Oryza sativa Japonica Group: one gene and its partners. The protein of the gene in region 3 binds, or shares a complex with, the protein of the main gene of each other region. Links are inferred from orthologs where the notes say so. Each region holds a gene or a part of one and is shown on either strand. Other genes may lie near its edges.

Region 1 (3,250 bases), on a different chromosome or scaffold from region 3:
ATTTGTGTACATGTGATGAAACAGTTTTCTATCAATGGTGAGACAAGTTATTTTTTGAGACACATGTATATTTTTATCAAAATATAACCATGTGAGATCTTGTTATAAAGATTTAATGATGATGAATCTAATGGTATCATTGAAATTTAGATCAGAATATATAATTTTGGAGAAAAAAATATTTAAAATTTGAGGAAAAAATTAGGCACATGTAATAATAGAAGGGAGAGGGAGGGAGCGTATGCAAGCAGCAGCGCAAGCAACACATACAGGGGAGGCAAGCAACGTGGCACGTGAACAATGCAGCATGGGCGGCCTACATGCATGCGTATGCGCGCGGCAGTGCGGGGGTGAGCGTTGACCAGCAAGTGAAACATTATGTTATATATGGTGAAACAAAAAAAATCAACAACCGAAACATTTAAGTATTTTATGAAACATGGTGAAAATACACGTTGAAACATGTCGCTGGCACATATGAAACAACAAGTATTAACGAATTGAAACATATATTTTTCTTTTATCAAAATAAAATCATGTGATATTTTATTGTAAAGATTTAATTAGAACAAATATAATGGTGTGATCGGATCATAAATTGGATAAGTAATTTAAGAGAAAAATTATTTTGAAGCTTGCTAAAATACATACATGTGTGCATGGATGAGGTGGAGAGAGAGGAGAGAGAGTAGTAGCAGTTAGTTTCATGAATTTTGTGAAACACACCGATGACACATATTGAAACATATCACTATCACGTACGAAACATTTTGTTTTAACGTTTTGAAATACATGTTTTTCTTTTGACATAATATAATCATGTGATATCTCATTGTAAAGATTTAATTGCAACGAATAGAACGGTGTGATCGGATCGTAAATTGGATAAGTAATTTAGGATAAAAAATATCTAAAGAGAGGAGAAAAGAATGAAAAGAAGCAGTTAGACACATACGTTACAGTGACAGGGTTCGTTCTCACATGCCTGCATGGGCGTCCGATTTTTGGTGAGATGCCGGACGCCAAGCCGTAGCGCCCTCCAAGAAATGGCGGACGGATGCACGTAACGGGCCACGAGCCCACGGGTCAACCTAATCCCATCCGGCCCAAACATGACCTTGACCGGGCAAGGCCTAGCAACGCTCAAGCCCGCTTCAACCAAGCCCAAAATTCTTGTGCTTTTCGTCTGCCCAAGATCAGACAATGGTTGGCCACCCAAAAGTCTGACCTTATCCACTAAAATTTTCCATACAGATTACAGGTTACAGGTTTCACCCCTGAGCCAAACGTGAGCCCGCTACACTGACAACAACAAGCTCATCGCCAACCCGCTACTGAAGCAGCAGCCTACCAGCAATGGCGTTGCCGCTGCTCAAGTCGTCCCCCCACTTCTCTGCTCTTCACTCCGCGAACAGAGCCCAGCTCCATGGCCGCTGCCGTGCAACGGTACCGCACCGTCCATTCTCCCCTTCGCGTTCATGCAAAAACTGCTTTCCTGAATTCCTTGCGAATTTCACCTACTTGTTCAAATGTTGTTGTTAAATTTGCAGCTCGGTGGATTCCATGACCCGAGGTCCAACTCCAGCCGTTGCAAGGTGAAAGGTCCCAGTGCATTTTAATTTTTTCACCGAGAAAGAAGAAATCCGTGGTGATTGGTGAGGCAAAGTAATGCGGTCTTAGCGTTTGCAGAAATCGGCCGGGAGGGGTTCAGTGAAGGCGAACGCGTCCCCGTTGGACGTGGTGACGCTGATGGTGACGATGGTGGAGCACGTCGACCTGCAGAGGGACTACGTCGTGCACAAGTCGATCTGGCATCTCAGCGACGCCGCCCTCAAGAGCGTCTGTGAGTCGTCGTCGTCGTTTCACCTTTCCTGCAGTTTGTTGTTACGTCTGAAACTGAAACTTTTCACAAAAAAATTTCTCTGTCTGTCTCGTAGATACCTTCTACGCCTTCTTCACAGTCTGGGGCATCTGCTTCTTTGCGTCCATGAAGGCAAGCACGCAGAACATATGCCACTACAACTTGGAACGAAATTACATCTTCGATATGTGTTACTGACACGGTCTTGTGTGAATTTACAGGATCCTTTCTACGACAGTGAGGCGTACAGGGGACAAGGGGGTGACGGCACCGTGCACTGGTACTATGACCGGGTATGTCTTTCATTACGGCTTTTTTTTTTTCCTTTATCACGAAGAAAGAACATTCAGACAATTAGACAAACTCTAGTTGTGCGAAGCTACTAAGATAACCAGTCATTTTGCTGATCGATCTCCACTCTCCCATGGTTGATTCTGCAGCAAGAGGACCTGGAGGCGTCTGCAAGAGAGGAGCTCCTGAGGGAGGAGCTACTCGAGGAGATCGAGCAGAGGGTCGGAGGGCTCAGAGAACTCGAGGAAGCAGCCAAGGAGGAGCAGCTTACAAACTGATGGATGAATGAGAGATTGCGCATGGATGGATGACTGCATGATCATGGCGCGATGCGGCTGCATTCTGTAATACCGTACAGAGCGGCTGTGTAATAGCAAGATACACAGTTGCCTGATAGCGCCTGTAAATGTTGGCATCAGACTCAAAAGGAAAGCAAATAGGTGCTCCGTCTGCATGAATGCATTATATTGCATTTGTAGTGTAGGCTAAAAGAAGGAATGTACTACTCCATGTTAATCAAAGAACCTGTACCGTTCACCATGGTGGATATTGCTTCCAAAATATATAAATTGTGTAAATCGACTGATATAGACCTACACCATGGTGGATATACGTGCCCTGTGGAGACGGAAGTTTTGTCAGATCGCAACCAAATTGTGGCGATCCAATATGCTTTCGTTCTGTCGGCTCTCACGGTGTCGGGCCAACTTTATTTGGGTCCAGTACAGAATGGTAGCGATTATGGGCTACCTTTACCGGGCCGCTCGGTGATGGACTGGCCCAAAAAACTCCGTTAGTTCGGCCTGCTTGCGCTGGTGGTCGCGCGCTGGGAATTGGACGCCATCGTCGGCCACGGCCATTCGATCGAGGAAGAAGAACCGCTGATCATACTTGAGCTGCTCCACTACAGGCCGCGAACCAGCAGCAATCAGTCTGCACTCAACGTACAGTACAGACCACACTACCACAGTAGGTAGCACATGTATATACTACTTGTATAGGGTGCAGAACTTCGTAGTATTCCGTCGATCAGCTCATCAGTCATCAGAGACTAACAATAGTTATTTCGACACAGGTCTCTCGACAGGCTTGAATCGG
Region 2 (3,859 bases), on a different chromosome or scaffold from region 3:
GGCTTGCCCCTTTGCCGATTCGGGAAAAAGGGGAAGGGGAGCGGGAGCGTCGCGGCAGAGGGAGGAGGGGCGCGGCTCCGTCCCTTGGCGGCTTGCGCGCGGAGTGGCGGGGGCCGGGCGATGACGACGACGATGACGGGGGGACGGCTTGGAGCGGAGCGGCGACATTGGCGACAGGCGCGTGCAGAGGCTGACGGCGGCGGCGACCGGGCGGTCGACCACTCGGCACGCGCGCGCGGCTTGCAACGGGCGGCGTCCGCGCGGGCGCGCGCACGCGAACACAGCGCGCGGGAAGCGGCAGCGAGGGAGCGGTGAGGGAGGACTTGGCTCGGCGCGGGCGGCTTACGCGTGCTGGCTCGCGGGGCCGAGCGGAGGGGCGCAGGGCGCGGCTCTCGCGCTCGCGCGTGGCGCGCGAGGGAGGGGCGCTCGGCGCGGCGACGCGCGCTCGCGCGCGCGGCGCGGGGCGGAGCGGAGGGAGAGAGGGAGAGAGCGGGGGCGCGCCGGGGAAAGCGAGAGAGAGAGCCGGGAGAGAGAGGGGAAGATGGGCCGAGGGAAAATCGGCCCATCGACCCTGGGGGAGGCAAAATGGACTTTTGCGGAGGAATTTGATTTGGAGGGATTGGATTCGGAATTGAACTCGACGATAGATCGGGGATTGAGATCTTGAGATGGCACGGATACTAGACAACAAGCAAAGAAACAAATTTCGCAATTAGGGTTTTTAAGAGATAATTTCCCCGCTAGGCGCCACGACGGAACGGGCGCTACAGCAGGTCTGGCGAGGGGGGCGGGGAGGCCGGCGAGCTCGCCCTCATCCCACCTCCAACCCCTCCCCGCCTCCTCCCTCTTCGTATGCACTCGCTGCCGGCCTCCCCGCCTCCTCCCTCTTAGCATACGCTCGCTGCGGGAGCTGTGGGGGATGGCGGCGTTCTGGCTGCAGGCCAACCCCATCCTCGTCGGTGCCGCACCAAGTTGCCACATCGCCACCCGTCGCCAGCTGCCCTACCAGCCTCCTCCGCAATCCGCACCCGCTGGCCGCCCTGAGAAGAGAGAGAGGGAGGGAGAGGAGGGGAAAATGGGAAATAAGAGAGAGGTGATGATATGGCATCTTACATGTGGGACCCACGCGCTGACTCAGCCGTCACGTCAAATAAAACCGGGGTCAAAACCACCGAAGGATCTAAAGTGAACGGTTTTGTTAGTTGAGGAACGCCTGATATCTGGTTTTGCGGTTGGGAAACGATTTTGTAACTCGATGACAAGTTGAGGGACCTTCGGTGTACTTTTTCCTGGAATCATCTGTCGTTCCACGGGCCACGGCCGCCGTTTGGCGACGAGACACGCGGCTTGGCCCGCAAAAAAAACGAGGATTCCTTCCTCGGTCCTCGGGTGTTGAGTTGGGAAAGCCCATGGCCCGTGACGACGTACGCGGGCGTTTATAACGACGCGACAGAGAGGTGCCCGCGTTGCAGCAGCCACAGTTTGGGGATAATCCGATTCTCTACTCCCCAAGTGACTCACTCACCGATGGCGCCTCCTCCTATCTCCTCCTCCCTCTCGCTCATGGCCTCCAACCCAATCCCGTCGCCTCCGGTCGCCAAACCGGGCAGGCCGCTCACCGTCGCGGCGTGCAGCAACAGCAGCAGCAGCTCCTCCTCCTCCTCCCCGTCGTCGACCTCGTGCTCGGCTGCCTGGAGTCTCCCGGTGGCGACGTCGGCCGGCAGGAGGGGGCTGCTCGCGCTGGGCGCGGGGTTCCTGGCTTCCCCTGGGCTTCTGTGCCCCGCCGGCGACGCCGGAGCGACGCGCATCGAGTACTACGCGACGGTGGGGGACAAGCTGTGCGACATGAACGTCGTCAAGTCGGGGCTCGGCTACTGCGACGTCGAAGTCGGCACCGGCGCCCAGCCCCCGCGCGGCCAGCTCATAAATGTCAGTTCCGACAGAAGAGTTTCTCGCACTTTCTCTAGAAGAACCTGTGTTTTCTGAATATGATTAACTCCTGTATGGAGTAATTAAGCATTGGCAGATCATAAATTTGCCCAATTTGCATCAGTACCGATCCTTTAGTTAGTTCGACAACGAATAAACCTGCCATTTTTTTCTCGCCATGACACTGATAGGAGTTTCAAGTGTGTTAATTGGAGTTGTGTTCATGGTTGTAAGGTACACTACACTGCAAGATTTACTGACGGGATAGTGTTCGACAGCACCTACAAGCGAGGACGGCCACTGACAATGCGCCTTGGCGCAGGCAAGGTGCGCAGCTTTTGTTCATTGCACGTACATCTTCGATCGTAGCAAGCATCTTATGTAGTTATGCAAGGAATCTTATTGTTTGGTTCGTTCGCATTTTCATTCTCAGATCCTCCGAGGGCTTGAACAGGGAATCAGTGGTGGCGGTGGTGTGCCACCCATGCTCGTTGGTACTGTCAGAAATCCAGAAATAATAAGCATATGCATCTCTTTGTGTGTCAAATGCTAAAAATATAGTACTGCTTTTATTTTTCTTAATCACATCGTGTCTCTGTTGAAAATCGCAATAACATTACAGGTGGAAAGCGCAAGCTTATGATACCTGCAACTTTGGCATACGGACCTGAACCAGCAGGTTGCTTCTCAGGTAATAACGAAAGAAAAAAAAAAGTAATCAAACAAGTAATCTTAATTTAATTCTAGAAATTTGAGACCAGATTAAGTTTCATGTATTTAACGATGTTTCAGTGCTATCTGTCTGGCTCCCTTATTAGCATTCGCTAGAAAAAATATACAAATTTACAGAAGATTTACTTATTTAACAGGAGACTGTAATATTCCCGGCAACACCACACTCCTATACGACATCTTCCTGGTTGGATTTTACAAGTGAGCATATGATGAAAAGGAATATGCATGACTTGAACAGACTAGGTGCAAACAAGGTATGGTGGTGGTATTCTGAACCTGTCTGATTTTTTTTTCATCTGAAAACAGTATCCCTTGCCTAAAGGGGTTGTTGTTTGTTACATAAGCATGTTACATTCTCTGGCAGATTTTCGAGTAAATTTTGGCGTTTCATACAAGAGGCGGGACTACGGACAGATGAAGAGAAAGGGTGCGACATGCCTAAGCCCAGACGCCGAAAGCAAATGCGTCACCGGAGCTCCTTGGGTCTCCAATACGCAGAGTACTACATTTGCAATCTGTACCAAGAAGTGAAAGGATATATAACAAACCGGTCCTCTGATATACTATCAAATTGGTCTTATGTTTTCTAGAGAAGAAAAGTCTTGTGTTTGTGTAAGTATAACGTTGTAAAGACATGTCTCATTATTCATACTGTCATTGGTACAGCCAAACACAACAAAAATTCCCATCCTTTGTGGCAAGTCCTAACTAAATGAAGTTGAACTCTGACTGAATATCGATTGACTGGTGACTTCCAAACCTTCAACAGTTCAAGCAAGCTAATCGACTGTATCAATACTAATGTACTCAAAAAAATGTCGAAAGTTCGTGTCAAAGCACATGTGCAGTAGTAGCTTTGAGCCTTTGACTGCTGTCTGCACTGCAGTATTGCCACAAGATAATTTAATCATAGGTTTGTTAACCATCAAATCGAAACATGCATTGTTCAGACTTCAGAGAATATCCTAAAATCCTTTTATGAAACCAAAGAACACCCAAATCGTGAGAGTTGAACTATCGATTGACCGGTTCAGAGCCAGAACTGGTAGGTGAATGAGGGAAGAAAAGGAGAGCTGCCATTTCCGTGGCAGGAAGACTCAAGAATTCCAAAAGCTTCTTGTCGGTTTAAAACGAAAACCTTTTTCGTCAGATGCTCTGAATGCTGCTCGGTGTCATGAAATTCCTCATGGTTGTT
Region 3 (3,028 bases):
AACTTTTTATATTAAAAAAACACGCCATTTAGCAGTTTGAAAAAGCGTGCGCGTAAAATGGGCATCGAACATAGCTTAAGTCTATTTTGCCTCCTTCCACTATTGCGTTGTGCTGAATCGCATCCTCCAAATTCGAAACAGTTACAAATCGATTTCTTCTATTGTTGCAAAGTTTCTACTCACGGGGTAGTTAACCATGGTCAAACTTGTTGACGTGTACAAATGGAATCACATGTAGGGATAGATATCGAGTTGACTCGGCTCGGCTCATCAACAAGCTCGAGCTAGCTCGTTAAGCTCACGAGCTAGGGGCAAGAGACATAGCCGGCGAGCATAGGAAGCAGCTCAACCTCGCCTGCACTTCAAGTCTGCAACTAGGGGAGGAGGGGAGGAGCTTGACGGCGGAGAAAACGAGCTCGAGCTTGAGCTCGACGGCGACTACAGAGAGGAGCTCGATGGTGGAGGGGATGAACTCAACCTTCACAGCTCCGCCGACACTTGGACAGTTCACGGTTGGACCACGAGGAGGAGGCGAGCTCGACGGCGGGCACTGGGGGAGAGGCGGAGAGCGGCGGCGGCAGGCGCTCGATGGGGGTTGGCGGCGGCGGCTTGGCGCGGTGGCGATGGCGCTCACACGGCGGCGTGGCGCAGCGCCGATGGCGATGGCCGAGATGCGGATGCCGAGATGCACCGAGCGCCCAAGCCGCTGATGCGATGCGAATGCGATATGTGCGAGACGGTGGTGGACAGGGAGTCAGGGTCTCAGGCTGAGGTGAACTAGGGTTTTTTTTGATGAGTCTATTGGGCCAATGGGCCATAATGTATGTGTGCTGTTAGCTGTGGACCTGACTTGGCCTGGTAACCCCATAGCTCGTTAAGGCTCGCGAGCAGCTCGAGCTGGCTCGTTATCTCTAACGAGCTAAGATGCCAGCTCGGCTCGTTAGGAAATTCAAACGAGACAAGCCAAGTCGAGCCTGTCACGAGCCGAGTGAGCTAACGAACCACAAGCTTTCTGTCCACCCCTAACCACATGTAAATGCCTTGGTTTGCACCAGATTGAGAGGAGGAAGAGAGAAGATTGAGAAGATACACAAAACGAGGTGAGACATTAGCACATGATTAATTGAGTATAAACTATTTTAAACTTAAAAAATTGATTAATATGATTTTTTAAAGCAACTTTCGTATAGAAAATTTTTACAAACACACCGTTTAGTATTCGGGAAGTGTGTGCGTGGAAAACGAAACAAACTAACTCAAAATCACTGAATCACCTCCTGCAGAATAAGAAGATGGTGGAGGCATTATACCAGGTTTAGCGGTTAAGAGAGACGATTCAATCAAGAGCGAGAGAGGAGGGAGGCAAGTTAGACTAATTCCTTCATGCAGCCATTCTGTCGGCCCCTAGGAGAGGCAGCCCCATCAAACCGAGAGAAATATCTATGTGGTGCACTTTTGCAAAGGCGAAGGTTTTCCTCATCCTCTCGTGGCATCGCGCGCTATCCATTCATTCCCTTGCTACACTGACACACATCCTCGATGGCCACTTATCTCCAATCAGCAGGCCTCACCGCCGCCACTGCCAGCACCAGCCGCCTCCTCCGGCCAACACCACGGAGGCTGCTCCTCCTCGTGGCGGCGTGCTCCACTGGCGGACGGAGATCAGCCTGCCTCTCCGTCGGCCTCGCAGCCGCCGCCGCCACCATCTTCCAGCATCATCCCGCCTGCGCCGCCACCGACGACGAGCCGGCAAACAATGGGTGGTGGCTCACCGAGTTCCCTTTGCCGGTGCCAAAGATTGTCAACAGTGAGTAGTAAATTAATTACCATTACACACACAAAATATATAAATATAGTGATTGCAATATATATATATATATATATATATATATATATATATATATATATATATATATATATATATATATATATTGTGTGTGCAGAGGAGCTGAACAATGGCGAGACGGGGAGCCGGACGTTCGTGAGGAACGGCATCTACATAGCCGACATCGGGCCGAGCTACGCGGCGCACGCGTACAGGCTGCGGAGCACGGCGTTCGACCTGCTGGCGCTGGAGGACCTGCTGGGCAACAACGCCGACAGGGCCAACTACGTCACCAAGTACCTCCGCCTCAAGTCCACCTTCATGTACTTCGACTTCGACAAGCTCATCTCCGCCGCCTCCGACGACCAGCGCCCCCCGCTGCTCGACCTCGCCACCCGCCTCTTCGACAGCTTCGAGCGCCTCCAGAAGGCCTGCGGCACCAAGGACGACACCCAGATCGGCTCCTCCTATGCCGACACCAAGATCATCCTCCAGGAGGTCATGGCAAAGATGGCCTAGTGTTTCTGTTGGTGTACTAGCTAGTACTGTATTTCTCTCACTTTACTTGTCATACATACATATATATATATATATATATATATCCTCCTCATCACACACATATTCATATTCACATCTACGCTATGCAATATAACTTCATACTCAGTAAGTACTAAAAAGCAACAGAGCATTTCAATTCCAATTACTTGTCTGTCTTTATCATCCAAACAAAGCCAGCCCAACACAACACAGGGCACTTCTCCAATAAAATACAACCAACCTCACATCTTGTTACTACCACTGCACATTGATGCAGCCACAAATTAGATACTACAGTACTATCTGTAATGTAATGCAATGCGATGCTCGTACAATCAACAAAGCCACATGCCAAATCAGAATATTATACACACCCTCTAAGCAACCAACACACGGAGGGGATGCAAATGATCCATTGCATCCCTCAAACAACACACAAATACAATTAGTCATGGACATTCATTTTGTCCAAGCCAACTCATCCTTGCGCCAAGCTACGCACTTGGGTTTGACGACGAGGGATGCCAATCTCGCACGAGTTCACCCGTGCTGCGAACCGTAGCGAGCAAATTGACTCCCCTGTAGACGACACCTCTGGAGACAGATTCACAAACATAAGTGTCTTCGAGTCTCCTCCAAGGCATGGCTGTGTCCAAGGGGAACAAA

The links. Proteins that work in one complex are often made in the same cells at the same time.
Region 1: photosynthetic NDH subunit of lumenal location 3, chloroplastic (region 3) and photosynthetic NDH subunit of subcomplex B 4, chloroplastic share a complex: the UniProt entries of both Arabidopsis thaliana proteins name them as parts of the chloroplast NDH complex. The link is inferred for Oryza sativa Japonica Group from reciprocal best matches to the Arabidopsis thaliana genes PnsL3 and PnsB4.
Region 2: photosynthetic NDH subunit of lumenal location 3, chloroplastic (region 3) and photosynthetic NDH subunit of lumenal location 4, chloroplastic share a complex: the UniProt entries of both Arabidopsis thaliana proteins name them as parts of the chloroplast NDH complex. The link is inferred for Oryza sativa Japonica Group from reciprocal best matches to the Arabidopsis thaliana genes PnsL3 and PnsL4.

What each region holds. Positions count from the first base shown.
Region 1 is NC_089036.1:31,696,117-31,699,366, forward strand, and holds photosynthetic NDH subunit of subcomplex B 4, chloroplastic, read left to right. Parts: upstream 1-1,250; 5' UTR 1,251-1,356; coding exon 1,357-1,446; intron 1,447-1,550; coding exon 1,551-1,595; intron 1,596-1,689; coding exon 1,690-1,843; intron 1,844-1,937; coding exon 1,938-1,993; intron 1,994-2,082; coding exon 2,083-2,154; intron 2,155-2,301; coding exon 2,302-2,430; 3' UTR 2,431-2,737; downstream 2,738-3,250. UniProt on the Arabidopsis thaliana protein: NDH shuttles electrons from NAD(P)H:plastoquinone, via FMN and iron-sulfur (Fe-S) centers, to quinones in the photosynthetic chain and possibly in a chloroplast respiratory chain.
Region 2 is NC_089036.1:32,085,082-32,088,940, forward strand, and holds photosynthetic NDH subunit of lumenal location 4, chloroplastic, read left to right. Parts: upstream 1-1,452; 5' UTR 1,453-1,527; coding exon 1,528-1,929; intron 1,930-2,163; coding exon 2,164-2,256; intron 2,257-2,362; coding exon 2,363-2,423; intron 2,424-2,551; coding exon 2,552-2,620; intron 2,621-2,798; coding exon 2,799-2,866; 3' UTR 2,867-2,918; intron 2,919-3,028; 3' UTR 3,029-3,346; downstream 3,347-3,859. UniProt on the Arabidopsis thaliana protein: NDH shuttles electrons from NAD(P)H:plastoquinone, via FMN and iron-sulfur (Fe-S) centers, to quinones in the photosynthetic chain and possibly in a chloroplast respiratory chain.
Region 3 is NC_089041.1:312,201-315,228, forward strand, and holds photosynthetic NDH subunit of lumenal location 3, chloroplastic, read left to right. Parts: upstream 1-1,465; 5' UTR 1,466-1,539; coding exon 1,540-1,807; intron 1,808-1,943; coding exon 1,944-2,344; 3' UTR 2,345-2,525; downstream 2,526-3,028. Other genes in the region: kinesin-like protein KIN-14N, read right to left, coding at 2,841-3,008. UniProt on the Arabidopsis thaliana protein: NDH shuttles electrons from NAD(P)H:plastoquinone, via FMN and iron-sulfur (Fe-S) centers, to quinones in the photosynthetic chain and possibly in a chloroplast respiratory chain.